4 linked regions of the Zea mays genome follow. The protein of the gene in region 3 binds, or shares a complex with, the protein of the main gene of each other region. Links are inferred from orthologs where the notes say so. Each region holds a gene or a part of one and is shown on either strand. Other genes may lie near its edges. The genes, in order: 50S ribosomal protein L34-like; 50S ribosomal protein L31-like; 50S ribosomal protein L4-like; 50S ribosomal protein L24, chloroplastic-like.

Region 1 (3,682 bases), on a different chromosome or scaffold from region 3:
TGATGATGTTGGTGGTGGAGATCTTGGTGTGATCCTTAGAACCGACCATCTATGGGCCGATTTTTAGCAGGTCTAGACACCTAGTCCCCAGCAGAGTCGCCAAAAGTATGTTGACACCTTTTTCGGGCGCCAAACACTCAACAAGAACCGGCGACGGTGCTCTCTACACAGGCGCAAACGGTTCGCGCCCAGGGGCCGGACGGTCCGCGACCTGACGCAGGGCTAGGGTTCCCTGCCTGACGGCCGGACGGTATGCGCCCTAGGGGCCGGACGGTCCGCGTGTGCGCAGGGGCGGCGAAAGGTCGCCGGCGGCGCCTGGATCTCGCTCCCGGGAGGGACCCCGTCGGGGAGGAGAGATTCTAGGGGTTGTCTAGGCTCGACAGGCCGACCTAGATCCTCTAATCGACATAGAGTCGAAGAGAAGCGGAGAATTTGGGGATTAGAATACTAAACTAGGGCTAAACTAGAACTAGACTAGAACTACTCCTAATGCATAAGGTAAAAACGAGTAATAGACTTGATTTGATCGATTGTTGGGGAGTTCAATCGGCCGTAGCCCTTCATCTATATAAAGGGGGAGGTCTGGATCCGCTTCGAACTGATTTCCGAGTCAATCCCACGGTTTTAGATAACAAATCCCATGAGAAACTAGGAACCCTAACTGACTCTGCGCACGTGCGGACCGTCCGCGCCACCACCGAAGACAGTCCGGACCGTGGACCGTCCGCGCGGCCCCTTTTGGCTTTCAACAACTGTATATGCTCGGACTTAGAGCTAAAGATCCAGAAATGAGGAAGCAATTCTTCAAGCTTTACCATGATACAGTTTTGTAAACATTCTTAATCTTTAAAAGATGCTAACAAGAGTATAGGACAACAATTAATGCTTCTGCATTTCAACGTATCTTATCTTAACATATTTTACTCCGTAGCAATGCACGGGCATACAACTAGTATCATTGTAAGTTTTATAATGGAATGAAGCCCTCTAATTAATGGTAAAATAGCGAAACTCACTTTTGATAATGGCGCAATCCTAAATTTCTCCGTGAGGAACCGGGATTCTCCAGGGCGGAGGAGGGGATGTGTGGGTCAAATGTGCACTAGCCCATAGGAGGCCCATAAGGCCTGTCTCATCAAGCGTGGATAAGATAAAATAAAACAAGCACCAGGGACAGGGAGTGGCTAGACCGCAGCAATTGCGATTGCGAGTCCTCCAAACCATGGCGCTCGCCCTGGCCTCTCCAATGGCGTCTCTCTCCTTCCACTCCGGGAGGATCTCGGCGGCGTCTATCGGAGGCGTCGGCCGCACTCGCAGGGCGGCCCCGGTGGGCGTATCCGCCTCGCCGTTCCTCCGGAGCTCCTTCGTCTCGTCCTCCTCCACGTCGTCCGCCTCCGCCTCCGCCTCCCCCGCTTCGCTCGCGGCGGCTGTCTCGGCGTCTCTGGCATTTACGTCCTCCTCCGCGTTTGCGGGTGAGAATGTATCCTGTAATCCTTTTCTTCCTGTATTCGTGTGCTAGCGTTTGGGCGGCCATTTGTTTTGGTCTTTATTTGGGGAAATTTTGTGGGTAGTTTGCTTACTAGTAAGCTCGTACGGGGAAATGACATTAAAAATTTGAAATTATGACTTCATGACCGTGTGTTGACGATAGATTTGCAGAATAGGATGTTTGACTTGCTAATAATTCACTAATAATACAGTAAGCTGGTATCAAGAGGGTGGAGTTTTGGAATAGTTTGTTCTTTGTTGTTCATTACTCTAGTAGGGTGAAGAACAGTAACTGGGGATTTATGTTGTTTTAACGTTTGAACCGGAATTAATTACACTCACTTCATCTATACAAACAGAAATAAGGGTGTCCTAACTAATTCTTTGAAAACATTGAAGCTTGTGTGGTTGGTATTATAAAAAAACCAAAAATTCAGTTAGTCGGGCATATTAATAGAGAAGGACTAGATACACCAACATCGTTGAAAACAAAAGAAAAATGCTCACGAAACGAAGCGATGGCAAGACAATCACCAAAATAATAGTACATCGCCAATAAAACCATCAGAGCATTGGCAATCAGAACACGCCCTGATAGCCAAACAAGATATGGGGTGGGGTTCATATGATGCCTCCAAGGAGGTAAACAACATCTGCAGGTGCCGCCATCGATTATAGAACCTATGCTTTTGAACCAAAATCCCCTTAGGGTCTAGAGACCTCTTGACAATGCCTACAAGGAGGAGTGCGTCACCATTGCTGGCATCAACAGAAAGCCGAGCGTAGCTTTTGTCGAAAATCTGCTACCCCAAAACCCACACCTTGTTCCTGCAATGGCAAGGAGCCCACCAACGGCACTGCATGTTGTCATCCACCAAGTCTCAAGATAAAGTCATTGCAATAGCATTTTCTTTTGCTTGACAAGAAATCAAGATTTAAGAAGGGCTGCATATGACAGGACTATTAACCAATATAGTGAAGATTATATAACACAGTTGAAGCATAAACGCTTCCAAGAAACTTGATCTCAGGACTGATAGTCTGATACTACGACAACACTTTAATCACACTCGACTTTTCCATTACCTAAAGCAAATCCCAAAGCTCCTAAAAGAAGCACGACAAAGTTGAATCCAACAAACCATTTAAGCATTGTATAACAATCCAAACACAACCAGATAGGTATTCACAAATCAATGATTGTGAGTGCATGTGTGCCTTCGTTGTTCTTATACTTATAGCATGTTCTATGCCAGGTTCATCTTTGGGAATCGAGTTCAGCTACAGTATAATGACAACACGGAGATCCCGTGGTATGCAGATTAGGGCTGGAAAGGCTGCCCTCTGCATGACCAAGAGGTCAAGGTCTAGGAAGTCACTTGCCCGTACACATGGTTTCCGCAGGCGGATGCGGACTACTTCTGGAAGGAAGGTACTGAAGCGCAGGCGCGCCAAAGGCAGGAAGGTTCTTTGCACAAGGACAAACTCAAACAGTGGGAAGAAAAGAATGTTCTAATTACACTGCAATTTGATGTGCTCGCAACTGTAAGTGTAATGTCTACTTGCAATCTTCTAAGCCGCCATCTATGTGTAACAATCATGTAGCATCCTATTCCTGTTTAATTGGTTAAAAATATCTGGATCACCTTCTGCTTCCAAGGTTTTATTTGGTGTATGAATGATATTTTCTTATGAATATTTACTCTTCCCTAGTGGGCCTGAACCTGCGTGCAGTATGAAGGAACACTTGAGAGTAGATACCGTCGCTGTTATGAAGTAGGATCTCCTTTTACCCTGCCCATATTCCGTTATGAATACTGAATCTTCCCTGTTGGGTCTGAAATTGTGTGCAGTAGCATCGTTCGCTATACTGAACTAGGATCTCCTTTTGCGTTGCAGGGATAATCAGTTAAACTATTATATACTCCGGTTCCAATTTATAATTCATTTGACTTTTTTACACTAAGTTTGACCATCTCGTTTTATTTAAAAAATCATAATTATTGTTAAAGTTTACTGTGGTTTTGATTAGCATACAATATACTTTAAGTATGGCTTTGGATTTTTTTATTTTTTCAAAAAAAAAATTGAATAAGACAAACCGGATTTACCTTCATTAGCTGATGATGAAACTACTTACCCGTGCGGCCGTTTGATCCTTGCGCTACTTAAATTCTCTTTTCGATGGAGAGAA
Region 2 (2,864 bases), on a different chromosome or scaffold from region 3:
TTTCAAAACTAAATAAATAACAGTTATTTGTAGTCAAAATTTTATAAGTTTGACTCGAACATTATCCAAAACGACAAATAATATAACACCGGAGGGAGTATCTATTTGCTTGTCGCTATCTATTCTTATTTCCGCCACATTTTCTATCAACGTAGGAAATAGAGTGAATCAGAGCTAGTGTATGATATTATCTTCAACGGTTTATTAATAACAAAATAAAATTACTTACTTTTCTTTTGTCTAGATTAAGCCAATAATATTATAGTCATTTTGTTTTATTTTATAGAAATTAGCTTGAATTATATGTTGGTGCTAATTGTTTGTAATGGCATGAGATTTTACAAATATTCTATTCCACCCATATGGCCGTATGTCACGACATGTTTTATATATCATGCAACACATGGACACTCAATTAGTTCAGTCGCATGGAAAAATTGGTTGTATAAAACTATGACTCGGAAATTGGATCACCTAGCAACAGGAGGCTAGTTTGATCAAACAGTATGCGGTATCAGGTTATCAGCAGACGACTCAAGCTGTAGTCAAGCATCAGCGTATACTCCTAGTGAGAAATATCCATTTCCTCGAACCAGGATCATTTGCTTGTTTGATCAATACCATCCTACCCTAGAGTGCATTGCAGAAAGCACATTGTATTTGGGGGCCCATGATCAACAAGACCCTATCTCGTGAAGTAGTAGTAATTGTACATTTTCCATTCCGAACATTAACCGAACACCTGGAGAGCAATGCGAACAGACAGAGTCTCGATTCCATTCAAGAGGGCAAATGTAAACTGGACCGGTGACCACGCACCGGGTGAGGAAGACGGGGAGCCATCAATCAGTTGTCCCCCTCGGGCTCGAACTCCGGGTCGCCGTCTGGGTGCATCTCCCTCCACTGGTCCTCGGGCCAGTACTCCTTGATGTGGCCCCACTTCTTGCGGAACTTCTCGATCTGGCTGTCCATGACCACGAGCGCCGAGGTGTCGCCGACATAGTAGGGGTGGTTTCCGGACCACACGTCCACCGTGTACTCCGGCTTGGTGCCCCCCGTCACCAGCACCAGCTCGCCGTTGCAGTACACCTTCGCGTCCTCGTAGATCTCCGGGTGCAACCCCTTCTTGCGCATCGAGCAGCGCATCCCCTGCACCGCGCCGTCCAGGTTCCGGACTCAGGAATTAGCGGCGGCGACGACGAAGATCCGTGCAGGAATGGCGAGAGGGAGGGCCGGTGTGTACGAACGTGCGTACCTGGGAGGGGACGACGGAGCGTAGGGTGCGGGCGGTGGTCCTCGCGGCGGCGGGGATGGGGAGGAAAGAGGTGGAGAGGGAGAGCGTCATGGCGGACGATGGCCTTGCCTCGCGACAGTCGCTTCGGCTGCCTATGTTCTTTCCTTCCTCTTATCTATCGCCTTGCTAATGTTATCCTCTGGCGCTCGTCGATTCTCTCTTTAGGTAGCGTTGTCTAGGCTTGTTTGGGCTCTATATGTTCATTAAAGTCTGTCTGTGGTTTGTTTTGGGCTACGTGGAAATGCGACGGCCCACGAAAAATCCAGTGCCCAATTTCTCCTTCAGTTATTTCCAGTTGGCGGCCAGCTATACTAAAGAGGTATAGCTATGCGGTTTTTTATTTATCGAAACATTTCGGATCAAAATTCTCTTTCATAGATGTAACGTCGAAGAAAGTACACCACCAGAAATGAAAGTGTTGGTAGATGGTTGGTTGAATTAGTGGGCCAAAAGAAGAGAAAGTTGCATGCCGTGTAGAGTCTGACTTAAATATAATTAAGGAATGATATGCAAACTACAATTACAGTTGTTACGGTTTTCTTAAGAGTATAAAATTAAATAATTTAGAGCAACTCTATTAGAGCAACTCTAGTAGTTCTCCAAAAGATTCCTTAAATCAATAAATAATTTAGGTAGCTAAACTAAAAACTCATCTCCAACAACTCTCTTAAATGAATTTTCTAAATTTAGCTACTTCTCATCTAATCTCAATTTCTCCCTACATTTAGCAACCATTTATCAACTTCCTAAACAAAAAACTGACGATAACTTTTGTATTTTGGTGTTTTTTCACTTTGTAGTAGAGATATATTAACAGAGCACATTCGTCGGACGCCGACGATGTAAAATTGTGGCAGGTAGTCAACTAGAGATTAACCAATTGCCAATGCAATAGCCGCACGTGCACATGTTAGAAATAAACGAATAAACAATTGTGATAGTAAATAAAAAAGCCAACATAACTCACCAATTAAATGTGTCATCACTAATGGTCCTACTCAAACTAGCGTCATGTTAATTAAAATTTAACATATTTAGAAAGTAATAGATAGAGAAATGTTGGATGAGATGATTTTTTCCCCTATATTATATGAGAACTTGCTATATCTAGGATTTAGGTATTATTATTATACATAACTATTGTAGTTGCTCTTACTAAATACTATACTCTTCTATCACCTTTTGGTATATCATTATTCGTACGTCATGCTGCCCTAAGTATTCATATATTTTAACTTTGGTTTGTTTGGCTATCTCTATTCATTATGCCTTGTTGATAATAGATCTAGCTAAGTATTCATATATTTTAACTTTGATAGGTGCAATTTTATATTTGTTATTTATCGATTAACTACATCTACAAAGATTTATTCCATGTTGTATGAGTATAACAATGTTTGTCGATCATAATTACGATGTTCTGCTGCAATTCATACTAAACTATGATTGTTTGCTTTATTATAGCTCATACATCGTATATTATCATGTCCAATAGAAAAAAGTATGTTCTGATCGATTTCACCGGTAGAAGTTTGCTTAACATTTGTAAGATTTGGACTAATGGAGAGAA
Region 3 (4,256 bases):
TGTTGTGCAACGACGTCGATAGCCCTCCACACTATTCTGCCTGAGCCGCGACCACTCCTTGACGATCTTCTCGCCAACATCGATGTCTTCGCCATGCCTTCTGGATTGCCACCAACTCGTGCATGTGACCATTGCATTCACTTGCAGCCAGACACGACAACAGTCGCTGTCCGACCCTACCGCTACTCGTAGGTCCATAAGGACGAATTGGAGTGCAAAGTCGTCGACATGCTGGTCTAGGGCGTTATTTAGCCTAGCACGTCGACCTTCTCCACATCGATGCTCCTCGTCAAGAAGCATGACTCCTTGCTCTTCTACATCGACTCCTTGCGCTTCCTCAACGACTACACGGTGAAGGACAAGTTCCCAATCCTCGTCGTCCCCGTCGTTGATGAGCTCCTTGACGAGCTCCATGGCGCCCATTTCTTCATAAAACTGGACCTACGCTCCGGGTACCACCAGATCCGCATGCACACAGGCGACATCGAGAAGACCGTGTTTCACACCCACCATGGCCACTTTGAGTTTCTGTTGGTGCCAGTTGGGTTGGCAAACACGCAGGCAACATTCTAGAGCCTCATGAATGAAGTCACGCAGCCCTTACTCCGTTGGTTTGTCCTTGTTTTCTTTGATGTATTCTCATCTACAACGACTCGTGGTCAACTCATCTGCAACACGCCTTTTTCGACGCCTCCATGCACACTCCCTCTTTGGCAAGCTCTCCTTTGGCATGACGTCCGTCGCATACCTAGGGCACGTCATCTCCGTAGATGGCGTAGCCATGGATGGAGACAAGGTGGAGGCCGTCACGTCTTGGCTGCACCTTCCTGGGCCTTATGGGGTACTACAGGAAGTTCATATAGGAATTCGACCTCATCGTGGCGCCACTCACCAGCTTGCTAGGGAAGGACACCTTCCACTTGTCACCGAAGGCTGAGACGACCTTCACCGCACTCAAGCGCGCACACTCCACTGTGTCGGTCCTCCATCTGCCAGTCTTCGATACCTTGTTCGTCGTGGAGTGTGACGCGACGAGCATAGGGTTCGGCGCTATCCTTCAGTAGGGCGCAGGACCACTGGCCTACTTCAGCTGACCATTCGTGCCATGACACCAGAAGATCGCCGCCTACGAACGAGAGCTCATCGACTTGGTGCAAGTCGTGCGTCATTGGCGCCCATATCTCTGGGGGCGCCGGTTACTCATCTGCACCAACCACTTTAGCGTGAAGTTCCTGCCTGATCAACGCCTCTCAACGATCCTGCGGCACCAGTGGGTGAGCAAGTTGTTCGGCTTCAACTTCACGGTGTAATACTGCCCCAGTTGTCTCCATACGGTCGACCACGCCCTCTCCCGCCGTGACACCGACATCATTGGCCGCCACAACAATTGTGTCTTGTTTTTGTTTCTTTGCAGGTTGGCTCTCTCATGAAATTTGTGGTTGTCCTATTTTATGTTGAGGCGTGTCTGCCATTCAGACAAAACCATCTTATTTCCCTTCAATGCAAGGCAGAGCTCCTGCCACTCTCTTTTAGAAAAATGAGAAATATGGTAAGAGGTGCATTTTTATTCAGCAAAACATAGTCCTGTACAAAACCGATATTCAAACCCCATGTCTTGGTCCTTGAGTAGTGTGGTTTTATGCCATTCAAATTTACATTGTAGATAAAATGTTCCCCAAAATAATGGTGATGCAATTCAATCCAATCGGCATTACTGCTTCGTAGCACTACCATTTGCTATTCTCCTTCAACCTGTTGAGACATGTACTAACTGAAGGATAGCAGTTACTAGCAGAGAGCCCATATATGGCCAGTACAGGAATAATCAAGCAGCGCACTGCAACCAGCAAAGCATACTCTGTAGCTATGTACCTGGAGCAGCATCTGCTGTGGTGCCTTCTTCTGCTTCTTGCTCGACCAGTTCCTCCTCGCCATCATCCTCGTCATCAGTATAGTAGTCATCGGAAACACTGGCTCCGTACCTGGAGTTGAGGTAGTCTACAGCAGCAGGAGTAAAGAAGAGCTTGCGTGCGTCGAGTATGTCGTACAGGTTCAGCGTCCTGGGTGTGAGCATTTTGAGGGAACCAATGTTCCTGCCGCTGAGCCGCACATTGTCGTCGAAGTCCGTGGCAAAGAACATGGCTTTCTGCTTCGGGTCAAGCCCCCACCGCTGCAAAGCGGCCACGAAATCCCTGGTCTTGGGCCCCGACGCGAAGGCCTCCTCGAACTCCTCGACAACGAAGGCGTCCTTGGCGGCGCTCACGATGGCAGTGGAGATGGCAAGGCGCTTCTCCTTGCGGTTGATCTTGATGGACCAGTCGCGGGGCTTGGGGCCGAACACGACGCCACCGCCGGGACGAAGCGGGGTACGCTGCGACCCCCGCCGCGCCTTCCCCGTCTTCTTCTGCTGATAGGGCTTCCTCCCTCCGCCTCTGACCTCGCCGCGGGTGAGCGTGGAGGCCGTGCCTCGGCGCGCGTTCTGGCGGTCGGTGATGATAGCGCGGTGCACGACAGCGCGCGCGGTGGAGGGTGGCGCGGATTTGAGGTCGAGGGTTACCTCCCCGACCTTCTCTCCGGTGAATGAGAGCACGGGGAGGGTGGCCGCCTCGGCGCGCAGCGCGCGGAGGACGGAGACAGCCGCCCTCGTCCTGACGGCGGCGTGTGGAGTGACGGCAGCGGAGGAGGGTGGGAAAAAGGAGGTGGATGAGGAAGAGAGGAAGGGGGAGGAGGACGAGGAGAGCGAGAGGAGGAGAGGGGAGACTACGGCGGCGGCTGGCATTGTGCCGGCTTCGCTGCGCTAGGTACGGGACTACGGGGTGAGGCGAGGACGATGGCTCTGACGCTCTGCCTCTGCAGCTGCCGCTTCTCTATCCCTTTGTTATCCACCCGTTCGGTTCGGCCACTCCTCCCCAGACAGACTCGTAGTCCCTACTTGCCAACGCCACAAGAAGGCACACTGTCAACTGTCTCAGGAGTCACCGAGTCAGGTCTCATGCCGAGTCGGCTAGTCGCAGTCGCACTTCACAAGTTTGAGTAATTTTTCCTTAAAAATCCATTAATATTACAAGTAATGAAAGGGCATTTGCCGTGTTAAGTGAATTTATTTGCTTGCAGTTTGCTAAAACTGGTTGACACGGGACGGGAGGAGACGAAACCGTGCCTGTGCACTTAAGTCAGCTGCACCTGCAGACTCAACTGCAAGTGCCCAATGCTTTCAGCACAGCTGGGATAGATAAAGGGTGAAAACGAATCTTCAGAAATTCTAGGTAAAAAGGATTAGGCTATCCGCAACCGTTACCCCTAAATTTTTCCCCCTATATCACTTTTCCCCCCTATTTTTCTCCCTATTTTTTCATCTCCCGCAGCGGTTCCCCCTAAATACTCCCCTATACCCCACTACAACTATAAAATATCATTTTCTATATCAACTATTAATTTTTTATCTACTAACAATTACTCGTGGACCCACAGCACAGTGTTTAGGGTGATGAACAGTGACACGCTAGATCTGGGGGGAGATAGAAGGGTGCCGACGCGTAGGGGGCGCTGTAGGGGGCACCGCTGCGGCCGTAGGGTGCCCCCTACAGACGGCATGCAAGGGGAGGGGGAGTGCTAGCGGTGACCGCTGCGCACAGCCTTAATCAGAAGTTCTACGTTCCCTTGGCTTCCTGATGATAACCAACTTGCACGCGTCTCCTTACCGACAAGGTAACAAGCAAAGTCATGCAGGTCAAGAAACCTGAATAGATGACTGCGGATTGCATTCTCATGATAGTTTTTTTTTCCAGATATTCTGCCACCCTTGCACAAACCATAAGGTAAAAGCAAGTCAGGAAATCAGAAGTTTAGAGCAGATGGCCGAAGTTCAAATTATCATACTTATTTATTTTCTTCTGTTTCGATCTTCCACGATACATTCTACATGAATGATACAAATATCTATCCAACATAGTCTTTGGTCCCTACGTGAATCATACTGGCTATTGTGTAACCTACAGTTGACATATCCAAAGCAGAGGCGAGCTCTATAGCTTGTCGACCTTGTTTACGGTTTATGCGGATAATAAATGGCTTTTTAGGATGATATACTAACGCTTGCGATGCCCGTAGTTCATCTTGATGACTTTGATGGTAGTTTCTTAACCAGACTAGTGTTACCAGTTACCAATAGTCGAGCACCCTTCACCAGCTCCTCCTTAATCATAAAAAGCAAAGCAGAAGCAAAAACACTTTGCACAATTTTTGTGCCCATTCCT
Region 4 (4,366 bases), on a different chromosome or scaffold from region 3:
GTTGGGAGATGCAACCGTTTGATCGAAGATTAGAGACTGAGATGTTATATGTGCACTATTGCTTCATGTGCACAGGTTACTTCGCCTTTGTAATATGCCTTTGTAATATAGGAAATGATATATGTGGATATTTCTGAGGAAGTGAGGACGAGACCGAGAGTAGTGGGTCCAGAGCTGCAAACGAACACGGGCTGCCCGCACATACAAGCCCGTTCAGGGCTTGTTCGGTTACACCAATCCAGAGGGGGATTGGAGGGGATTAAATCCTCTCCTAGTCAAAAATGACTAGGAGGGGATTTAATCCCCTCCAATCCCCCTCTGGATTACTGTAACCGAACATGCCCTCATAGTTTTTCATCCAAAACTCTGACTGGTGAAGCGGAACAAGATCAGCATATGCTGATGCGCATTGACTTGCGTTGCAAGATTTGGTGACAACTGTATAATTTACAGGGGGAAAAACTGGCGTAAATAACAACATAGAGGGATAAACAGGCTCAATTCAACATGCAAGACGCAGTCAGCGTTCAGAGCATTTTGCAGGTTTTCATGCTAAAACTGTTACTCCGAATTTCCTTCCTTAAAAACCTTTACCCACTTCTCAACACTGTCGATTACTTCACCGGTCTTGACCAGGTATCGGACCTTGGTCCCGTCCTCCAGGAATTTGTGGCCAACCCTGCTTACCACACTCTTCTCCTTAGAGTAGAGCATCACATTTGAGCTATGAATGGGGCCTTCAATCTGATCAAAGAAAATTTAAGTCTGATCAAGAGAACGATTAGGCACCTACTAAAACTACAGATATGCTCTTGAAACCAATATGTGCAAAGCATCATGAGAGGCCCAAAAAACAAGTTCAATAGAAATTTTGCTGACCATGACGATTTCACCGGGTTCATCGTCTGTGCCTTTCTTGTGCTTCGACTTCAAGTTCAGGTCCTTCACGATCACCGTGCTGTTGTGCTTGAAAAGGCGTGTGACTTCTCCAACCTTTCCTTTCTCACGGCCTGCAATAACCTGTACCGTGTCCCCGATCCTAACATGCATCTTGTGCAGCACAGGAAGACTGTTTGGTTTACACTTCTTTCGCTCCCATCTCTTAAGCTGCAGTGGAAAGTGAAGTTTTAGGACATTTCACATTATTGGATAAAAAAGGTATCAAATATTTGGACTAAAGATTTTTTTTACTCACTCTCATTTCAATTGGGCATATCTTGACCATAAACCTTACCTGCATATTGAACATATTAAACAGCTTGTCAGAACTTCACATCCTAAAGACATAAGATTCCATTTCAAATCAAAGAGACACTAATCAGATGCTTCTGAGATATGGCATGACTCAAACACAGTGGTTACGATTCATGTTGATCTGATCAAGACACTACAGGATCCAGGGCTCCTCTTTATGTTTGAGTAATACGATATCCCTTAAAATACAGTGGTTCTATCACTTCCTTCAACAGTGATTACTTGACCTCACTATCTATTCTTTACTTGCTTTTGCTTCTTAACAGAAAGGTTTATCCTCATCCGATTCTTATCAGTTGGGAATTTTCCAGGCACAAGTACATACAGGTAAGGCATAATAAAGATGACACAGAAAAGAAAGCAGGGTTCAAATACAAACATCATTATGCTCATAATACACTATTTGGCGCCAAATTTTGTTTCCAGTTAGTCATATGTATTGTGTGATGTGGGGTAATTCAGGCATAAATATATATAAACAAAATCAGTGGCACATTGAGGGCAACATAATTTCTTCAGTTGACATTTTGACCGCTTCAAAAGCAACATAATTTCCTCAGTTAACAAACTAAATAAAGAGTACTCGAACAAATTTTACCACATGAAACACAGCATACTCTCTATTAGCACTAAAAGGCAAACATGTGCATAGTTGTATATGCAAAAAGGACAATACCGGATTACCAATGACAAAGGAAATTCTCTTACTTAAATTAATCCCAATCAGTTAATCTATTTGGCGCACTCAAATCTTACCATTTAAGCTTCCATGCAAGATAAAAATAAAAAAAGAAGGTAGACGAAATTCAATATGGACACGGTCTAAATTTAGTGTGTGTCGTGGAGCAAATAGAAACTTAATGTAATATGAAATCTAATAAGGGCGAGTTTGGCATAGTTCTACTCCAAAACTTTGGGTGAAGTATATCTGCTCCGAAGTGTAGATTGCTTTCTCATAACCAGTGCATTGGATGTGTCTTGATTGTTTTTGAAGGATTTTTCAAAGTAGCAAAAAATGTACTCCAAAAAATTATACTACAACTCTCAAAACTCTATAGAGTTTGCAACTCTAGAATTAGGGTGTTTAGTTGACTTTGTCCAGGTCTTCCTTAAAGTTTTGCTCTAGAGTGATGTCAAACACCCCTAAACATAGTCATATTAGAAGCCTGGTTTGTCATCCTTGAAAATGCACAATTAATAACAATGCAAAGGTAATTTTCCATTTCATTGCATCCAATCCATACAGACTAGCTCCAAAACCGTAATGCAAGCTCGAATGTCCCTAGAACAATTCCATCCGACCGCGCTTTGCAACGCTATCCAGAAACTCCAGAGTAAAATCTTTCACCAGAACAGCTACTTATTATCTACCAAACCATCAGCAGAACGGAACGGAATTGGGAAGCAGGAACAGACCCCAGGCTGCGGCGCGGAGTAGGTGGCGAGCCGGTTGCCCCAGAAGCTGCTGCTGCTCGCCGTCGCCGCGCCTAGCGCGGAGATGGAGAGCGACGCCATGGCGCCCTGCAGCGATGCCATCCCAGCCATCCTCTCGCCGCTCTCCCTCTCTCACTGGACTTGCTCAGCGCCCAAACTGCTCAAAGGATAACGCACGCGGCTTCTTCGAGTTGCCCGGAACCGGAAGAGAGAGGATAACGCGCTCTTGTATTCTGACGCTGGTGGGTTGGGCCTCGTCACTAAATGAGACAGGCCTCAGGTGAGGCACAGATGGGCCTGGAAGACGCTTAGGTGATCCAGTGAGGCCCATGGGTGCTCGTTCTACCGCCGTGAGAGGCTACAGGCTAGGGCCTCGGCTCCACGAGCGAGCTCCGCACGCATCAGCTGATCAGCATCACTGCATCAGCTATCAGGACGACAGGACGAGGACGGCGGGGTCAAGGCTCTCTTTCTCTCTCCCTCCCTCTCTGCGTGTCTCCTCGCACGCTACGCGAGGCCACGCGAGATTGCTTGGGAGATGCGTGCCCGCCTCCAGATTCCCCGTTCCAGCGCCGAGGCGCGCAAGCTACGCGACGGTTGCTGAGGCAAGCGAACCCCCTACTCCAGTTTTTCACTTTGCTGTTGTGTAAAATAAAATTCGCGTTACAGAGACAGAGACAGTTTGGGCGATGGAGGGTAGGTGGATGGCGGTGACATCGAAGCTTTGCGCTTTTGCTGCTGCAGGTCCCATCCTGCACCGAGAAAGGGTGGGATGTCAATCGGATTTCTCTATTGCAAATCATGGTTGCAAGTTAGACGTGTTTACCTCAGATCTTTTTCTCCAGAGACATTGGGTATCTCTTTTCTCATAGTGGACTACATTTCTCCCCCTCGAAGTCAATATCTCTTTCTTCGACTTTTCATTGCTGGCAGTTCTGCGCATGTCCTAAATCCTTGAATCATAGTAGGACATCCATGACAGATCACATAAACAACACGGCCAATACATCACTGGGCAGTTGGGCCTCGGCTCCTATCGCCGTCATCTAACTACCATCTAGGGAATCAGGAATGGTCCTGCCGTGCAAGCAAACCTTTAACGTTCCCCATGGGATAAGCATGTGACTATGCAAATGCCCGACACAAATTATATCTTATTATGGTTAAGAATCTTGTGTTTATTTTTCTCTTTCTCCTTTTCTATTCGCCACATGTGTTGAGATAACTATGCAAATCGTGACATGAAGTTTTGTTTCTATGTGGCGCTACCAAACAAAATGGATAAGGAAATGTGTGGCTTTTTTCCATGATAATTGCGACAGTTTCATTTCGTAGCTATCTGTTCCTCGTGGCCATAGTAATGCTTTGCACTTTGTTAATTTTGTAAGAAAAGAAATGGCATGATCTAATAATAAGGCCTTCTCTCTATGTGGCTAACTGGCAAGGGCTTAGCAATCCTCCCCCTTTCTAACTATAACCTTTTAAGGCATGGATGCTGGAGTGCTGGGCAAAACTCAATCTGTCTGGGCAAAGCTCTACTTGCTTGCGACACTCCAGATGTGGACCATTTTTTTTCACAGGTTTCGGAGCTAGACATGTCAAGTAGTTTCCTTCGGTTGTTGATTAATTTGCCCACTGTGATAGAGATTTTGCACCTTGTGGCCTCCACAAGAGTTAC

What was found.
Region 1: 50S ribosomal protein L4-like (region 3) and 50S ribosomal protein L34-like share a complex: the UniProt entries of both Arabidopsis thaliana proteins name them as parts of the 50S ribosomal subunit. The link is inferred for Zea mays from reciprocal best matches to the Arabidopsis thaliana genes RPL4 and AT1G29070.
Region 2: 50S ribosomal protein L4-like (region 3) and 50S ribosomal protein L31-like share a complex: the UniProt entries of both Arabidopsis thaliana proteins name them as parts of the 50S ribosomal subunit. The link is inferred for Zea mays from reciprocal best matches to the Arabidopsis thaliana genes RPL4 and emb2184.
Region 4: 50S ribosomal protein L4-like (region 3) and 50S ribosomal protein L24, chloroplastic-like share a complex: the UniProt entries of both Arabidopsis thaliana proteins name them as parts of the 50S ribosomal subunit. The link is inferred for Zea mays from reciprocal best matches to the Arabidopsis thaliana genes RPL4 and RPL24.

The regions. Positions count from the first base shown.
Region 1 is NC_050098.1:192,686,049-192,689,730, forward strand, and holds 50S ribosomal protein L34-like, read left to right. Parts: upstream 1-1,196; 5' UTR 1,197-1,222; coding exon 1,223-1,472; intron 1,473-2,744; coding exon 2,745-3,004; 3' UTR 3,005-3,148; downstream 3,149-3,682. UniProt on the Arabidopsis thaliana protein: This protein binds directly to 23S ribosomal RNA.
Region 2 is NC_050098.1:221,939,972-221,942,835, reverse strand, and holds 50S ribosomal protein L31-like, read right to left. Parts: upstream 1,404-2,864; 5' UTR 1,346-1,403; coding exon 1,256-1,345; intron 1,150-1,255; coding exon 847-1,149; 3' UTR 554-846; downstream 1-553. UniProt on the Arabidopsis thaliana protein: Binds the 23S rRNA.
Region 3 is NC_050096.1:38,266,226-38,270,481, reverse strand, and holds the start of 50S ribosomal protein L4-like, read right to left. Parts: upstream 2,806-4,256; 5' UTR 2,780-2,805; coding exon 1,873-2,779; intron 1-1,872. Other genes in the region: Peroxisomal nicotinamide adenine dinucleotide carrier, read right to left, coding at 4,112-4,256. UniProt on the Arabidopsis thaliana protein: This protein binds directly and specifically to 23S rRNA. May play a role in plastid transcriptional regulation.
Region 4 is NC_050100.1:50,135,593-50,139,958, forward strand, and holds 50S ribosomal protein L24, chloroplastic-like, read right to left. Parts: upstream 2,857-4,366; 5' UTR 2,800-2,856; coding exon 2,671-2,799; intron 1,235-2,670; coding exon 1,196-1,234; intron 1,108-1,195; coding exon 880-1,107; intron 745-879; coding exon 562-744; 3' UTR 376-561; downstream 1-375. UniProt on the Arabidopsis thaliana protein: One of two assembly initiator proteins, it binds directly to the 5'-end of the 23S rRNA, where it nucleates assembly of the 50S subunit. Required for optimal plastid performance in terms of photosynthesis and growth.